3 linked regions of the Kluyveromyces lactis genome follow. The protein of the gene in region 1 interacts with the protein of each later gene in a pairwise test. Links are inferred from orthologs where the notes say so. Each region holds a gene or a part of one and is shown on either strand. Other genes may lie near its edges.

Region 1 (5,151 bases):
TCTTTTAGGCAATTTAGAGACTGACCCGAAGATCGGAACTATGCGCGCTTCAAATCTCGATAGTTTGACCGATTGAGCTATGGCATGGGACAATGTTAAGGCTGTTAAGTGGTCTCCGGACCTCAAAGTCACTATGTCATTAAAAATACGAGGTCTTTCCGTATCCATGTCATATTCGAAATGGAAGCTTTCAATCTCGATATCTTGTTCATCTAAAGGTTTCAGCACCATGTTCTTATAAGATGAAAACGAGATGTCACCTAGGATGTTTTTTTCTTGAATTTCAGTGAAATTCCAGAACACAACTACACCATAACTGAATATGAAGATTTCCGCATGTTGCTGTTGAAATAATGAAGTTTTACCATTAATCTCATTGAAAGCCTCCAGTTCCGCTTCTGCATTATTCTCCTCAGCAAAATATTGTGGCTCACTTGGGTCGAAGGACACAGAAGTATTGACTGGCGGATTCGGTAGATGATCTGGTGTATTCTCGGCATTTAAATTATTTGTTACTCCCCCTTCGTCTAACTCGTAGTTATTGTTAACATCTTCAAGCGTTTCGACTCCCGAAAAATATTCATAATGATGATCTCTTCTCTCGCTGGTATCTATTAAATAGTCAATGATTGACTTACCTCCTTGGGTCTTTTTTGATATGTTTGATTTAATTCTGAAACCATCCTTGCCAGGCAATAAGGGAAGAGTATACGGTACGTATAAACATTCGTCGTATAACCTTGGTAGTACATCATGGGTCTGCTTCATGAAGGTTGAGGTTAAAGATAGGTTGAATCCCTCAGCAACATTGTATGCTGTTATTCTCGGTAGATCAACTTCTTTATCCATTTTGGTCTTAGAACTTGATTTCGCTCTCTGAGTTTTATTTGCACGCTTTCTAAACTGGTTTATATTTCTACTGTCATGGGCTTCATCCGGAATCAACACAAGTTTCTGAGACGTCTTAGAAGTTCTTGTCGGTAAAGGATTGATCATTTTGGTGATATGAGTTCCTCTTTGCCTATTTCGAGGAAACATGTCATATGAGGATGTAGATAAACGTTCCTGACGTCTACCTGACGGAACATCACTGACATCCAATAAAAGGTTATCCATAGACACATCGCTGAAGCGACTACTAATGGATTTCTTGTCTCCATGCATATCGTATCCTCTTCTTCGTACTCTACTTCCTTTAGAGTCTGTTTTCCCGCCTGAGCTAGCCGCAGATCTTGGCACTGAACTTACGTTCCTCATACCGGCAGCATGGCCCGCAAAGGGTGCAGACGGACGATTCTTGTTAGAACGTGCATCTGTTACCAAGATACTTGGCGATCTTCTCGATAAGGATCTGCTCATAGGAACCGCTGTGTTTCTATCATCAATGACTGACATAATGCACAATGATATGAACGAATATATTGGGTGCCGTTATTTGCACTACAAGTATCGAACAGTAGCGTACTATATTGAACCAAGCCCCGTCGACTCCAACAGCAATCTTGATTGCTAGTGATATATCCAGGCGGGTAGTGAATTTGCTGTCTCAAATGTAATCAAAGGCAGCCGCTGCCCAGAAATTCGTATTAGAACCGCCAAAAATAGAATGTTCTTATTTCACTTCGACAGTAGTATCTGCGGAGATAATGGTGTACTTCACAAGAGAACTGGATATGTCTACATATCTTTCTGCTAATATGTGCATTCTTTTAACAACGATCCTCTTAGTTGTGTTCGTCTTTTTTTCCATACATTTGTCAAAATATTACCCGAACATCTTCCACTTTCACTGAATTATCGATATTGAACAATCAAATTAAAATGAAAACTCAAAGACGAATGGATTAAAAACGGAATAGTAAGCAGTGGGAGAACAACTTCGATATTGTCTCCTTCCAAGTTATATCACCAGTTGTAGGATACGTGAATTTCACTACCTAAAACATTCAGGTATTAGTAATTTCTCGTCGCTCGTGTAATATCTATTGAGAATGTCTGATTTGGATGATGATTTATTGGCTTTAGCCGGTGCCGGAACTGACGAGGAAGAAGAGGATGAATTCCTATCAACATCCAAAAAGCACGCTAGCAAGGAGTCATCCGGAAGCAAAAGAAGGCGTATAATGAAAGACGATGAAGATGAAGATGAAGATGAAGATGACAATGATGAGGAGGATGACGATGGATATATGCCAGCGGACTCTTTCGACAATGACGAGGAAGAAGAAGAAGAAGAAGAAGAAACAGACTCAATCCCCTTTCCGTTGGAAGGTAAATACAAGGATGAGAAAGATCGTGAAAAGCTAGAACTGTTGCCGGAAATGGAAAGAGAATCCATTCTCTTCGAAAGATCACAACAGATGCAAAAGTATCAAGAACGCAAATTGTTGAGGCAACATGCGAAATCCATCAAGCAACAACAACAACTGCAAAGGGAGGGTTCAAAATCGACCCGTGCCTCTACTAGATCCTCAAGAACCACTGGTCATTCTGATTTGAAACAATCTAAGCTTTCAGAACTTAAGAAACAAAGGGCTAAAAAGAGTGGAAATTATGAATTTAGTGACAACGAGTCTGAAGATGATTACAGAAGCGAAGATGATAGCCGTGGCCGAAGAAGAAGAGGCGATTATGACGACGAAGAAGAGGAAGAGTCGGAATACGATGAGGAAGAAGATGACTATGATCTGGGCTATGAAAAATCAAAGACCCGCGGAAGAGAGCGCGCAGATATTCATGAAGTAGAATGGGCTGAAGATGACAATTTGGACAGGGAGTCTTCCCTTGATGATTATAATAAAATACAAATTGGCCGTTCCTTTGTCGCTAAATTTTGCTTCTATCCCCATTTCAACAAGATAGTGGAAGGATGCTACGGTAGAGTGAACATTGGTAAGGACAAGCACACAGGTAATTCAATGTATCGTATGGTAAAAATTGAACGTGTATTTTTACAAAAACCATACAACATGGGTAAATTCTTTACTAATCAATATTTTGGTGTCACTCAAGGCAAAGACAGAAAAATTTTCCAGATGAGCTATTTCAGTGATAGTCCTGTCACTCAACCAGAATACGAGCGTTATTTACTTTCTTTGGAAAAATACGACATTACACAGCCTTCACCCTATATTCTAAATAACAAGTCCAAGGCAGTAAATGAATTCGTATGCGAACCTCTCACACCGAAATTGATGGACGATATCGTTCGTAATAGAATGGTATTCAATAAGAAACTTTCAGGTACAAATGCTGTCATGGAAAAACAAGTGCTCAAAGAAAAACTGCAATTCTCTAAACAATCTGGCGATATTGAGAGTGAAAGTAAATATGCTAACCAACTTAAAGCATTAGAAAAGAGACTAAGTTCCTATGAGAAGCATCATGAAAACGATCAGAATGACATAAAGACCTTGGGTGCTTTAACATCCAAGAACAGAAAATTGAATATTGATCGAATCAGACACGCAGAAACAATCAAGAGAGAAGAAGGTGTAAATAAAGTGGATGCCAAGAGTGATCCATTCAGTAGACTAAAAACAAGAACAAAGATCTACTACCAAGAAATTCAACAGGAAGAAAACGAAAAGGCAAGAGAAGAAGCTAAAAGGCAACTAGAAGTTGACCAAGAAGCTGAAGAACAAAAGAAAAAGGAATTACTGCTTGCTAAATTCAGACGTCTTGGTGGCCTCGAAGAAATCATTGGTTCTCTAGATCTAAAATTACACATAGATATTTAAAAGTCCTATTCGGTATAGTGAATAATATTATGTTGTACTACTACTACTACTCTTAGTACTATCGGGATATTTTTGAGAACCTTTTTTTTTTTTTTTTCAGCCTTTGTACATATGTATTCATGTTAGATTTGTTTCCAAAAGTTTGTAGAATTTGCAAGCATCTCATACATGTCAGAAATGAAATCAGGAGCATCGTGCACAGCGAATGGCAGTCATTGCAGATAGAATTGCGGCTAGCGTCATAAGTGCATATGATAAATTACCTAAATCTGGCAAACCGGGAATCCGATCTAATGGAGTGACGGAGTGGACTGTTTTATCAGGTATTGTCGCGTTTGATGAGCTCAATGACAGGTATGAGCCGATTTCACTTGGCACTGGCGTAAAAGCTACTCCGAACGAAGAGCTGCAAAGGAGTAACGGGCAAATAGTACATGATTGTCATGCTGAAGTTATATGTTTACGCGCTTTTAATGCACTGTTGCTGAAGGAAATATGTGATCTACAGAATGGCCAGAAATCATTTTTAATAGAGAAATCAGCCGATGGCTACAAGGTTAAAGATGTTTGGAAATTTGCCATGTACATCTCACGCATACCCTGTGGTGATGCGAGCATGAATTTACTGGAAGCAGAAGATAAGTCAGAATGCGAAAATTGTCAGCAAGTGGGAAATATCTTTATTAATGGGCAATACGTTCATCCCGAAATCGATACAATTATCAGGGGACGCGCAAACTACAAATTGAGGAAAGTTGTTCGAACAAAACCCGGTCGTGCAGACTCAAAGATAACACTTTCGAAATCGTGCTCGGACAAATTAACAATGAAGCAGATGATTTCAATCTGCAATGCTTTAACCTGGTCACTTCTGCAATCACCTGTATATTTAGAATGGATTGTTCTGCCAAAGCAGTACCAGTACGAGCAAGTACAGTTAGAAGATACATTTTGGTTAAGATTAAAGAATCAGCAATTCTTGCCCTTTAAGTTTTTATTTTGTAATGAGACTTTTTCTGCTGATCGAACCAACTTATCTCAACAACCTTCTTTGAGTTCTTGTGTATCGTTATATGGCTCGAACGAAGCAGTATCAGAGGTAATACTAAATGGGGTCAAAAATGGATTCTATGTCAAAGGCAAGAAACCACTTCGAAAAGGTTGCCAATCAATTATCAGTAGATGTGCACAGTGGTCTGCCTTCAAAAAGATAAAAGCCATGCCCTCTGATACGGATTACTATGGCTTCAAATCAAGCGTTGTTGATCGAAACCACATTATTTCCAAAGCGAAAGCCACGCTCTCTGCTAGTGGCTGGATATCAACCTGCAGAGATAATTGCATATGACAATCGCACCATGCAGTGTTTCGAAATCTGAAGTAGCTTAAAAGAATAACGTTTTTATCTGTT
Region 2 (4,239 bases), on another chromosome or scaffold:
GGGAGAGAAGAAAGACTAAGAGACACCAACGAGTCCACCAACAGAAGAGTTAGAAACTTTTCTATCGCTGTCATCGTTGTTTTGGTCGCTTTGGGTGCATGGCAAGTAAACTACATGAAGAACTTCTTTAGAGCTAAGCACATTATTTAGAATGTTCGAATAGTTTCAATGCCTTGAATCTCAATACGATCTTCAAATATTGAATTGAAGAAACATACATCATATGGTGAGCCTTTTATACGTGTACAGTATCTATATATGGAAAATGGCATAATTTCTAAATCGGACGAGTAGAGGGGGAAAGGGATTATATTATGCCTAGACGGGTAGGTCTTTGTTTTTGCTAGAATTCTATGTTGATATGGCCACCAGTTACATTTATAAGTTTTGTACTAAGTTACTAGTGATATTCTTCCAAATGTTCCAAAGATTGACGTGTTTTTTAGGAAGTGAATTATTTAGTGGATTGCAATGATGCTAGTATCTTAATAAACCCATTTTACCAAGTAATTTGGCAAAGTCTAGGTAAGTGACAAATACCCTCTCGCCGTTCGTAGCCCAACTTACCATTGACAGGATAATATGTTGATCCATATCCACTTGAACAGCAGCCTTCTGGACATCTTTAACACTTATCACGTGCTTCCTTAGTGCAACCTTAGGGAACTGTTGCAATCTACCGGTATATTTTAATAGTAGTTCCCATTGTTTATCTATTATACTCTCGTTGTCCATGAAGATCAAGAGTCGATAAGTGACATCCAAGAGTTTTTCGAAATCTATGACGTCAATTCCATCCAAGCATAAGTCCTTGAATTCTAATAATCCGTACCATGATTTACTGATTTGTAATTCCGTATAAAAACTAGAAATATCAGCCCACTTGAATTCACCTTCTTCGGTGAAGCTTAAATATATCGATAGGACTTCATCTTCAATCTCGGTGGGCATTCTGGCCTCATTCCATCTGGTAATTGTGTCATAACTGACATCATTCTTTTTCCGCATAACTACATTATCTGGTCAGCAATGACTCATCGGTTAATATTGTCCTTAACGTAGCCAGAGCTGATGTTATATATTAAAGACTACATAAGGTACTAGCTGCCCGTTCGTTATGAAGTGATGCAGACTGATTCATCGGCTACTTAAGTACTTTTGAAATACTTAGGCGAGAGTTACCCTCTATTTGTGATCCTTGAAAAATTTCAATCTAAACTTCCCAATTTTCAATACAAAAATGGTAGTCCACGCTAAGTTGTAATGATGATCAGTATGCATTACAGTTCGCATTCACGATACAAAGCAACAGTCAGTAAGACGTCATGAGCGGTACTGCTGAGGAATCCGATAAAGCAGAGGCTGTTTCTGTACCTGAAACAGTTTCTGGGTCAGTTGAGAGTCAAGATAAGGAGCATAACTCTACTTCATCTTCGTCTGATTCTACAGATGTGGTTGGAGGCAAGAAAAGAACTATCGATGAAGTTGATGGGAGTTCTGAAAACAACTCTGCATCTGTCGATCAGTTAAAGGACGCTCCTACTGATTCTAAACCAAAGACAGAGGCTACTGAAGATAGTCCAATTAGGGGAAATCAAGGGAACAATCAAGAAAACAGTCAAGAAAACAAAGACGATGAAGATGATGAAGATGACAATGACGACGATGACAATGACGATGACGATGACGAAGATGAAGATGTCGAATCATATAGGAAGAAGCAACGTCGTGAAAGAAACAGATTCTTGGATATTGAAGCCGAAGTCAGTGAAGACGAAGACGACGAAGAAGATGAAGAAGATTCAGAACTAGTTCGTGAAGGTTTCATTACTCGCGGTGACGAAGAAGACGAAGAGGATCGTGGTGGTAGAGTTGATGACAGACTGCATAGAGAATTAGATCAAAATCTTCAAAAAACTGCGGATGAAGACATGCACAAGATCGCTGAAGACTTCAAGAAACGTTATGGTCGTGACTCTTCCAAAGATTACCGTGTACAAACTCAAGGTGGGTATGTACCTCAGAGGTTTATGTTACCAAGTGTTGATACTGCTATTATTTGGTCCGTTCGTTGTAGACCAGGGAAGGAGAAAGAACTAGTGAGAAAGTTGCTAAATAAGAAGTTTAACTTGGATAAATCTATGGGCTCTAAAAAATTAAAGATTCTGTCCATCTTCCAAAGAGACAATTACACAGGAAGAATCTATATCGAAGCTCCAAAACAATCTGTTATCGAAAAATTTGTCAACGGTGTTCCAGATGTCTATTCTAATCAAAAGCTTTTGATTCCCGTGCAAGAACTACCTTTACTATTAAAGCCTACCAAGTCAGATGAAGTGAGACTTGATGTTGGTTCTTATGTTAGAATTAAAAGGGGTATTTATAAGAATGATTTGGCAGTCATTGATCAAATTAGTCAGAACAACTTAGAAGCTCTATTAAAGATTGTACCCAGATTAGACTACGGTAAAAATGACGAAATCGACCCAGATACAAATCAGAGAAAGGCAAAGAGAGCAACGTTTGCTAGTAGGCCTCCTCCTCAATTATTTAACCCTACTATGGCATTAAGGTTAGACCAAGCCAACTTATTCAAAAGAGATGACAGGCACTTCACTTACAGGAAGGAAGATTATGTTGACGGTTATCTTTTCAAATCTTTTAAGATTCAGTATCTTGATACAAAGAATATCCAACCTACGGTGGAAGAATTATCAAGGTTCGGCAGTAAAGAAGGTGATGTCGATCTAGCAGCTATTGCTCAAACTATGAAAAAAGCTCAAGCTTCTAAAGCTATGTTTCAACCAGGTGACCGTGTTGAAGTGTTGACCGGGGAACAACGTGGATCTAGAGGTGTGGTGACTAGAAGTTCTAAAGACGTCATCAGCGTTAAACTATCGGGCTTTTCAGATAAATCATTAGAGTTCCCAATTGCATCTCTAAGAAAAATTTTCGAACTTGGTGACCATGTCACAGTAATAGCTGGTGAACATGAAGGTAACGCTGGTTTGGTTCTTTTGGTGCAGAACGGTCAAGTCACATTTGTTTCTGACCAAACTAGAGAAAATTTGACAATCTCTGCGAATAACTTGAGTAAATCTATGGATTCTACTCCGACATCAAGCGAGTACGCTCTACATGACATTGTTGAGTTAAGTGCCAAAAACGTGGCATGTGTGATCCAGGCTGGACATGATATTTTCAAGATTATTGACGACTCCGGTAAAGTGGCTACTGTTACTAAAGGCTCAATTCTTGCCAAGATCAATGTAGCAAGAGCGAAAGTAGCTGCTGTCGATGGTAATGGTAGAGAAATAAAAATTGGCGATGTAGTAAGAGAAAAGATCGGTTCCCGTAGAGAGGGACAAGTACTCTACGTTCAAAACCAACATATTTTCATTAGATCGAAAACAATAACGGAAAATGCCGGTGTTTTCGTTGTTAATCCAATGAATGTCGAGGCTGTCGCCTCAAAAGAAAACTTGATGTCGTCAGCATTGGATTTATCTAAAATAAATCCAAATATTGCGTCTAAGATGGGACCACCACAAACTACTCAGCAGACGCGGTTAGTTGGCCGTGACGTCGCTTTGAACAAAACTGTTAGGATACGTTCTGCGGGATACAAGGGGCAGTTGGGTATTGTCAAAGACGTCAATGGAGATAAGGCTACTATTGAATTGCACTCCAAAAATAAGCATATTACAATAGACAAAAGAAAACTTACTTACTTCAGTCATGAAGGTGGTGAAGGTATAACATACGATGAACTTGTTAGTAGACGTGGTAGAACTCCACATACCAGATTGGGCCCAAGCTATGTCAGTGCACCAAGACACATGGCTGCCGGTGGTGCGGTGGCAACGAACACTCCGCAACAACTTCCTGGTGGAATGACTCCTGGTTGGAATGCATTTGATGGCGGTAAAACTCCTGCGGTTGGCCAGAACGGAGGAACTTCATCCTGGGGTGGTGCTTCGACATGGGGCGGACAAGGCCCTGGTGGTGCTTCTGCCTGGGGTGGAGCTGCTGGAAACACTTCCACCTGGGGTGGGCAAGGTGCTACATCAACTTGGGGTGGTGCGTCCACTTGGGGTAATAAATCTAGTTATGGAGGCGCCTCTTCTTGGGCAGCAAGCGGAGAATCAGGAGCAGCTTCTGCCTGGGGCGGTGGCAATAAATCAAGCTATGGAGGTACTTCTACCTGGGGTGGTAACCAGGGAGGTGTCTCTGCCTGGG
Region 3 (4,399 bases), on another chromosome or scaffold:
TGACATATTCTTCGTCGATACGCCTTTGTTCTTCATCCTTTAGTTTCTTGAGTTCATCTTCGGGGATAATGTCATCCCAATCAACATCAGCTTTATAATCCGTAACTTCAAACTGTCTCAAGAATTCTTCTCCACCCAAATTCGATTCCCCAAGCTCTGGAGTTGTGATATGATCCTCTGCATGGTTCAAAACTTCATCCAAATTCAAGTCTTCTAACTTTTGTTGATTATCATTTGGTTTGAACATATTACCAGCACCGAATTTCAAGATTTCGGAAAGCTCACCGGCACTCGGTTCATTCTTCTTGGTTGATGATATTTTGTTACCATCTGTGACACCAAGAGAAATAATAGCGTATTCTAGAATCATCTTCTTTCTTGCACGCTCTAAGACTTCTTCTTCAACTGTATCTTTGGATACAAATCTATAAACCATGACATGATTCTTCTGGCCAATTCTATGAGCTCTTGCCATAGCTTGTAAATCCGCCTGTGGATTCCAATCAGAGTCAAAGATGATGACAGTGTCAGCAGTCATCAAATTGATACCTAAACCACCGGCTCTGGTAGATAGCAAAAAGACAAAATCGTTAGAATCTTCCGCGTTGAAATGGTCAATAGATATCCTACGCTGAGCAGAAGGCACTGTACCGTCAAGTCTTTGGAAATTTATACCTTTGATAGATAAATAGTCACCTAGAATATCTAAAATTCTAACCATTTGTGAGAAAATTAGAACCCGATGACCATCCTTTTTCAATCGTGTCAAAAGTTTATCCAATAATACCATCTTACCACTGGACATGATCAACCCTCTTAAAATGTTTTCTCTAGATTTGTGACCATCACCAAACTTAGAAAGAACTCTTTCTTCGGCGTTATCAAAAAGATAGGGATGGTTTGATGCCTTTTTCAATTCATTCATAACATTTAGAAGAGAAACGTGGCCGCCCTTAATACCAGAAGTCAAAGCAGAATAATTCTTTGTTAGAATGTTCTTATAATACTCCGTTTGAACATCAGAGAGTTCCACTCTTAAGATACGTTCGGTTTTCGAGGGCAAGGATTTTTCTACATCTTTTTTCAAACGACGAAGAATAAAGGGTTGTAACCTCTTATGCAAATCTCTGATGTATTCTTCCTGTTGTTCGTCCTGATTTTCAAAGTCGATTTCTTGATCAATAGTGAATCTGCCTGGCATTAAGAAATTCACCAATGCCGCCAATTCTTTAATGTTATTTTGTAACGGTGTACCGGTGATTAACAATCTGTTCGCAACTTTGAAACTGTTTAGAGATTCATATAGAGATGATTCTGCATTTTTCAAACGATGAGCTTCATCCACAGCCAGGAACTGCCACTTAATTGAACCCAACGTTGACCTATCTTTCAAAATATACTCATATGTTGTCAACAGAACGTTAAATTTGAGATGTTTTTTGCCCTTAGCTTGTGGGTTGGTGTAAAATTCATAATCTTGAATTAAGTCCCTTGAAGCTTGATTACCCATATAGTAAACACAGTTCAAACCAGGAGCCCATTTATCAAAAGTTTCTTGCCATGCAGGCATGGTTGATAAAGGTACCACTACTAAATGAGGACCGTTTTGTCTTCTAGCGTAAATGAGCCAACTGATAAATGAAACAGTTTGAACAGTTTTACCAAGACCCATCTCATCAGCAAGGATACCGTTATCGTTCTTTGACCAAAGAAAGGCCATCCAATTGATACCAGTCAATTGAAAATCTCTTAGTTCCCCACCTTTAATGAAACTAGGTTGGGCGTCTAGCTTTTCGAATTTCGGTCTTTGATTTGCTGGGTAATTAGAGGAGTTTTGTGGCATTATCTTGGAATTGGTTCTGTTTTGGAACTCTTTTACCTGTTCAGGAGCCATCTTGACAATCTCGGAGGCTACTTCCCAAGTACACTCATCATAATTTAAACGACGCCATTTTACAAGATACTTCAATTGGGACGAACCTGATCCGTCCTCATTTTCAAAACGTTCCGAGTCAATGATCCGTTCTGGCACCTTGAACTCTTCGAATTCGTCAATTCTACGCTCATGCTCAAGATCCATGACTTCTATATCCTCTCTGGTGGTATATGGGTCTGCTCTCACCTCTTGATCTAAAATGATAAACTGTTTATAATAATTCTCTATTCTTTTCAAACCTTTAGTCCCGTTCTCCTTGAGGTCCTCGTAGGACTCCCAACTGTTATGTAAATGAGATTGATCTGCCCATTTAATAAGGAACTCAAAGTTAGCTCTGATGGAATCCACATCCCATCTACGATTCTTCGTCGATCCCGAATTATCAACACCTTCCTTCAAACGATGATCGACAACGATGTCGATGCTATGCGTTTCCTGTTGCGGCGACGGCGAAGCAGAATATCCATCTTGCAAGTCCATATCCTCGCTATCCAAATTATGACCCTCATCCTGTTCCTCGGAAGATTCCATCAAATCCTCATCGTTAGAATCATCATTTAATGTATAATTAATGACTTTATTATTATTCCGAGACGAAAACCTGGTAGGCAAAACGACATTTTCCTCGTCACTCTCCTCGACACGTTTCGCTTGGCGTTTACTCTTTGAATTACCAGCACTGACACGCTTCCTACCCCTTTTGGCACTAGGTGCGCGGGTTGGTTTCCTTTTCGAACCGAAATCATCAGTGTCACTGAAATCATCAATTTCCTCTTCTTCTTCCTCTTCTTCGTCATAATTATGTTCCTGTTTCACAGCCTTCCGCTTTTGCTTACCCCTTCTGGGACGAATCACTTCCTCATCTGAATCTGAATCTAAACCAGCATAAGTATTATGGGTGATAGCGGCTCTATGCGACCTACGCAACCCGTAAAGTTCCGGATTCGCTAAGACTTCGTCTGGTAAATCCTGTACCATTATTGCATGAATCTAAACAGAGGGAAAAACAAAAAAAAATATTAATACAAAACACAACTTTAACACTCTGTGACAATAGATTCGTTCACCTCCACTGCTTTAGAATACCTATCGAATCCTTAAATGCAGATATTCTCACGTTTAAATCGTGTGCTCTGTTGAATGGGTCTTTTCTTTACAGGTTTAGATTGGAAAAAGAGTTCAAAACAAGTTTTGACTACGGGAAAGATACAGACGATATAGGACTAAAAAAATTTTATAAAACTAGGGTGAGAAAGAGGGTAACTAGGAAGTAATGTATCACATTACCGTTGACAGGTGACAACCAAGACGGGGATTACATTACTATCCATCTCAATCGATGGGGCAAGGTAGCAAGAAGTAGAAGATGATCGGCACATATGTCAGTGGAGACAGACTTGGCAAACGCTGAATAAACACGTACATGGCGTGTCTACTCGGTTTGTTCAGACCGAAGGAAAGAATAAGGTTGGATAATGAACGGTCAAACGGTGGTCAATTGAGGAGGTTTCCAGTTGATAAAACAGCAGTTTCAATTTCAACAGAAAAAAATACAGTACAGTATGAATTCCGTGAATATTTCAAATGCTGGCGATTTCAAAAAGTCGACAATAGAGAGCATATCCCGTACTAATCGAGTACGGGCCCCTTTCATCGTATCAGTAACCAAACGTTTACACACTTGGTGAGCAATTCCATATGAATGATGCACCTCAAAAAGGGAGGAACAAACTCAAGCACTTATATCGCGTTGCCCATTGAAAAATGGGCAACGCGAGCCCACACCGGAGAGACACCCCTGAATCAACCACAATGACATAACTCCAGGGAAATTCCCACCATAGTGGCACTTTCCCGCCCAAATCTACCCTTGCTTCTTCGACATGATTTAACCGCCCAAGTTCCGGAAAAATGATTCCCCGAAAAGTGATATCCAAAGAAGAGAAAACAAGATCTCAAGCCGGCTTTCTTTATATATTCATATCACATCACTCTAAACGATAATTAACTAATCCTTTCATCACCAAAAAAAATTTTTTTTTTTTTTTTCACTGAAAAATTTCACAAAGCTCATCTCATCGAGAAAACGAGAATGGAACAATAACAATTTCCAAGCTTTATCTGTATGAAAACAATGGTAAAGGTTTTAAAATATAAAGTTATTTCACTTGTTTTAGTTTGCTTTAATTCAGTTGTACTTATAATTTGATTACTTGTATCTCAATAAGTAATAGGTTCTGATTCTTTAGTAGTGGTATTCGTTTTTTTAAAGAGTTTTTTTTTGTTTTAGAAGCACAGACTAGAGAATACGGTTTCAAGGCTGGTGAGAAGAGTTTGATATAAGACTACTCTTAAAACTATTTATTTCGGATACAGAAGGATATTATTAATCTGATTTTAATCCATCCTAATTTATATTTTAATCTGTCCTAATCTATCCTAGGTCAATTGCAAAGCAAGGAA

What was found.
Region 2: the proteins of RTF1 (region 1) and SPT5 interact in binary tests that used the Saccharomyces cerevisiae proteins (3 or more experiments, as listed by UniProt). The link is inferred for Kluyveromyces lactis from reciprocal best matches to the Saccharomyces cerevisiae genes RTF1 and SPT5.
Region 3: the proteins of RTF1 (region 1) and CHD1 interact in a two-hybrid assay, tested with the Saccharomyces cerevisiae proteins (3 studies listed by BioGRID, with this or other methods). The link is inferred for Kluyveromyces lactis from reciprocal best matches to the Saccharomyces cerevisiae genes RTF1 and CHD1.

Annotation. Positions count from the first base shown.
Region 1 is NC_006037.1:70,242-75,392, forward strand, and holds RTF1 (RNA polymerase-associated protein), read left to right. Parts: upstream 1-1,991; coding exon 1,992-3,740; downstream 3,741-5,151. Other genes in the region: RMD8 (Rmd8p), read right to left, coding at 1-1,395; TAD1 (tRNA-specific adenosine deaminase), read left to right, coding at 3,946-5,088.
Region 2 is NC_006038.1:68,439-72,677, reverse strand, and holds the start of SPT5 (transcription elongation factor SPT5), read left to right. Parts: upstream 1-1,325; coding exon 1,326-4,239. Other genes in the region: ERV25 (Erv25p), read left to right, coding at 1-150; RAD33 (Rad33p), read right to left, coding at 478-1,008. UniProt on the Saccharomyces cerevisiae protein: The SPT4-SPT5 complex mediates both activation and inhibition of transcription elongation, and plays a role in pre-mRNA processing.
Region 3 is NC_006039.1:1,546,405-1,550,803, reverse strand, and holds the start of CHD1 (chromatin-remodeling ATPase CHD1), read right to left. Parts: upstream 2,915-4,399; coding exon 1-2,914. UniProt on the Saccharomyces cerevisiae protein: ATP-dependent chromatin-remodeling factor which functions as substrate recognition component of the transcription regulatory histone acetylation (HAT) complexes SAGA and SLIK. It recognizes H3K4me.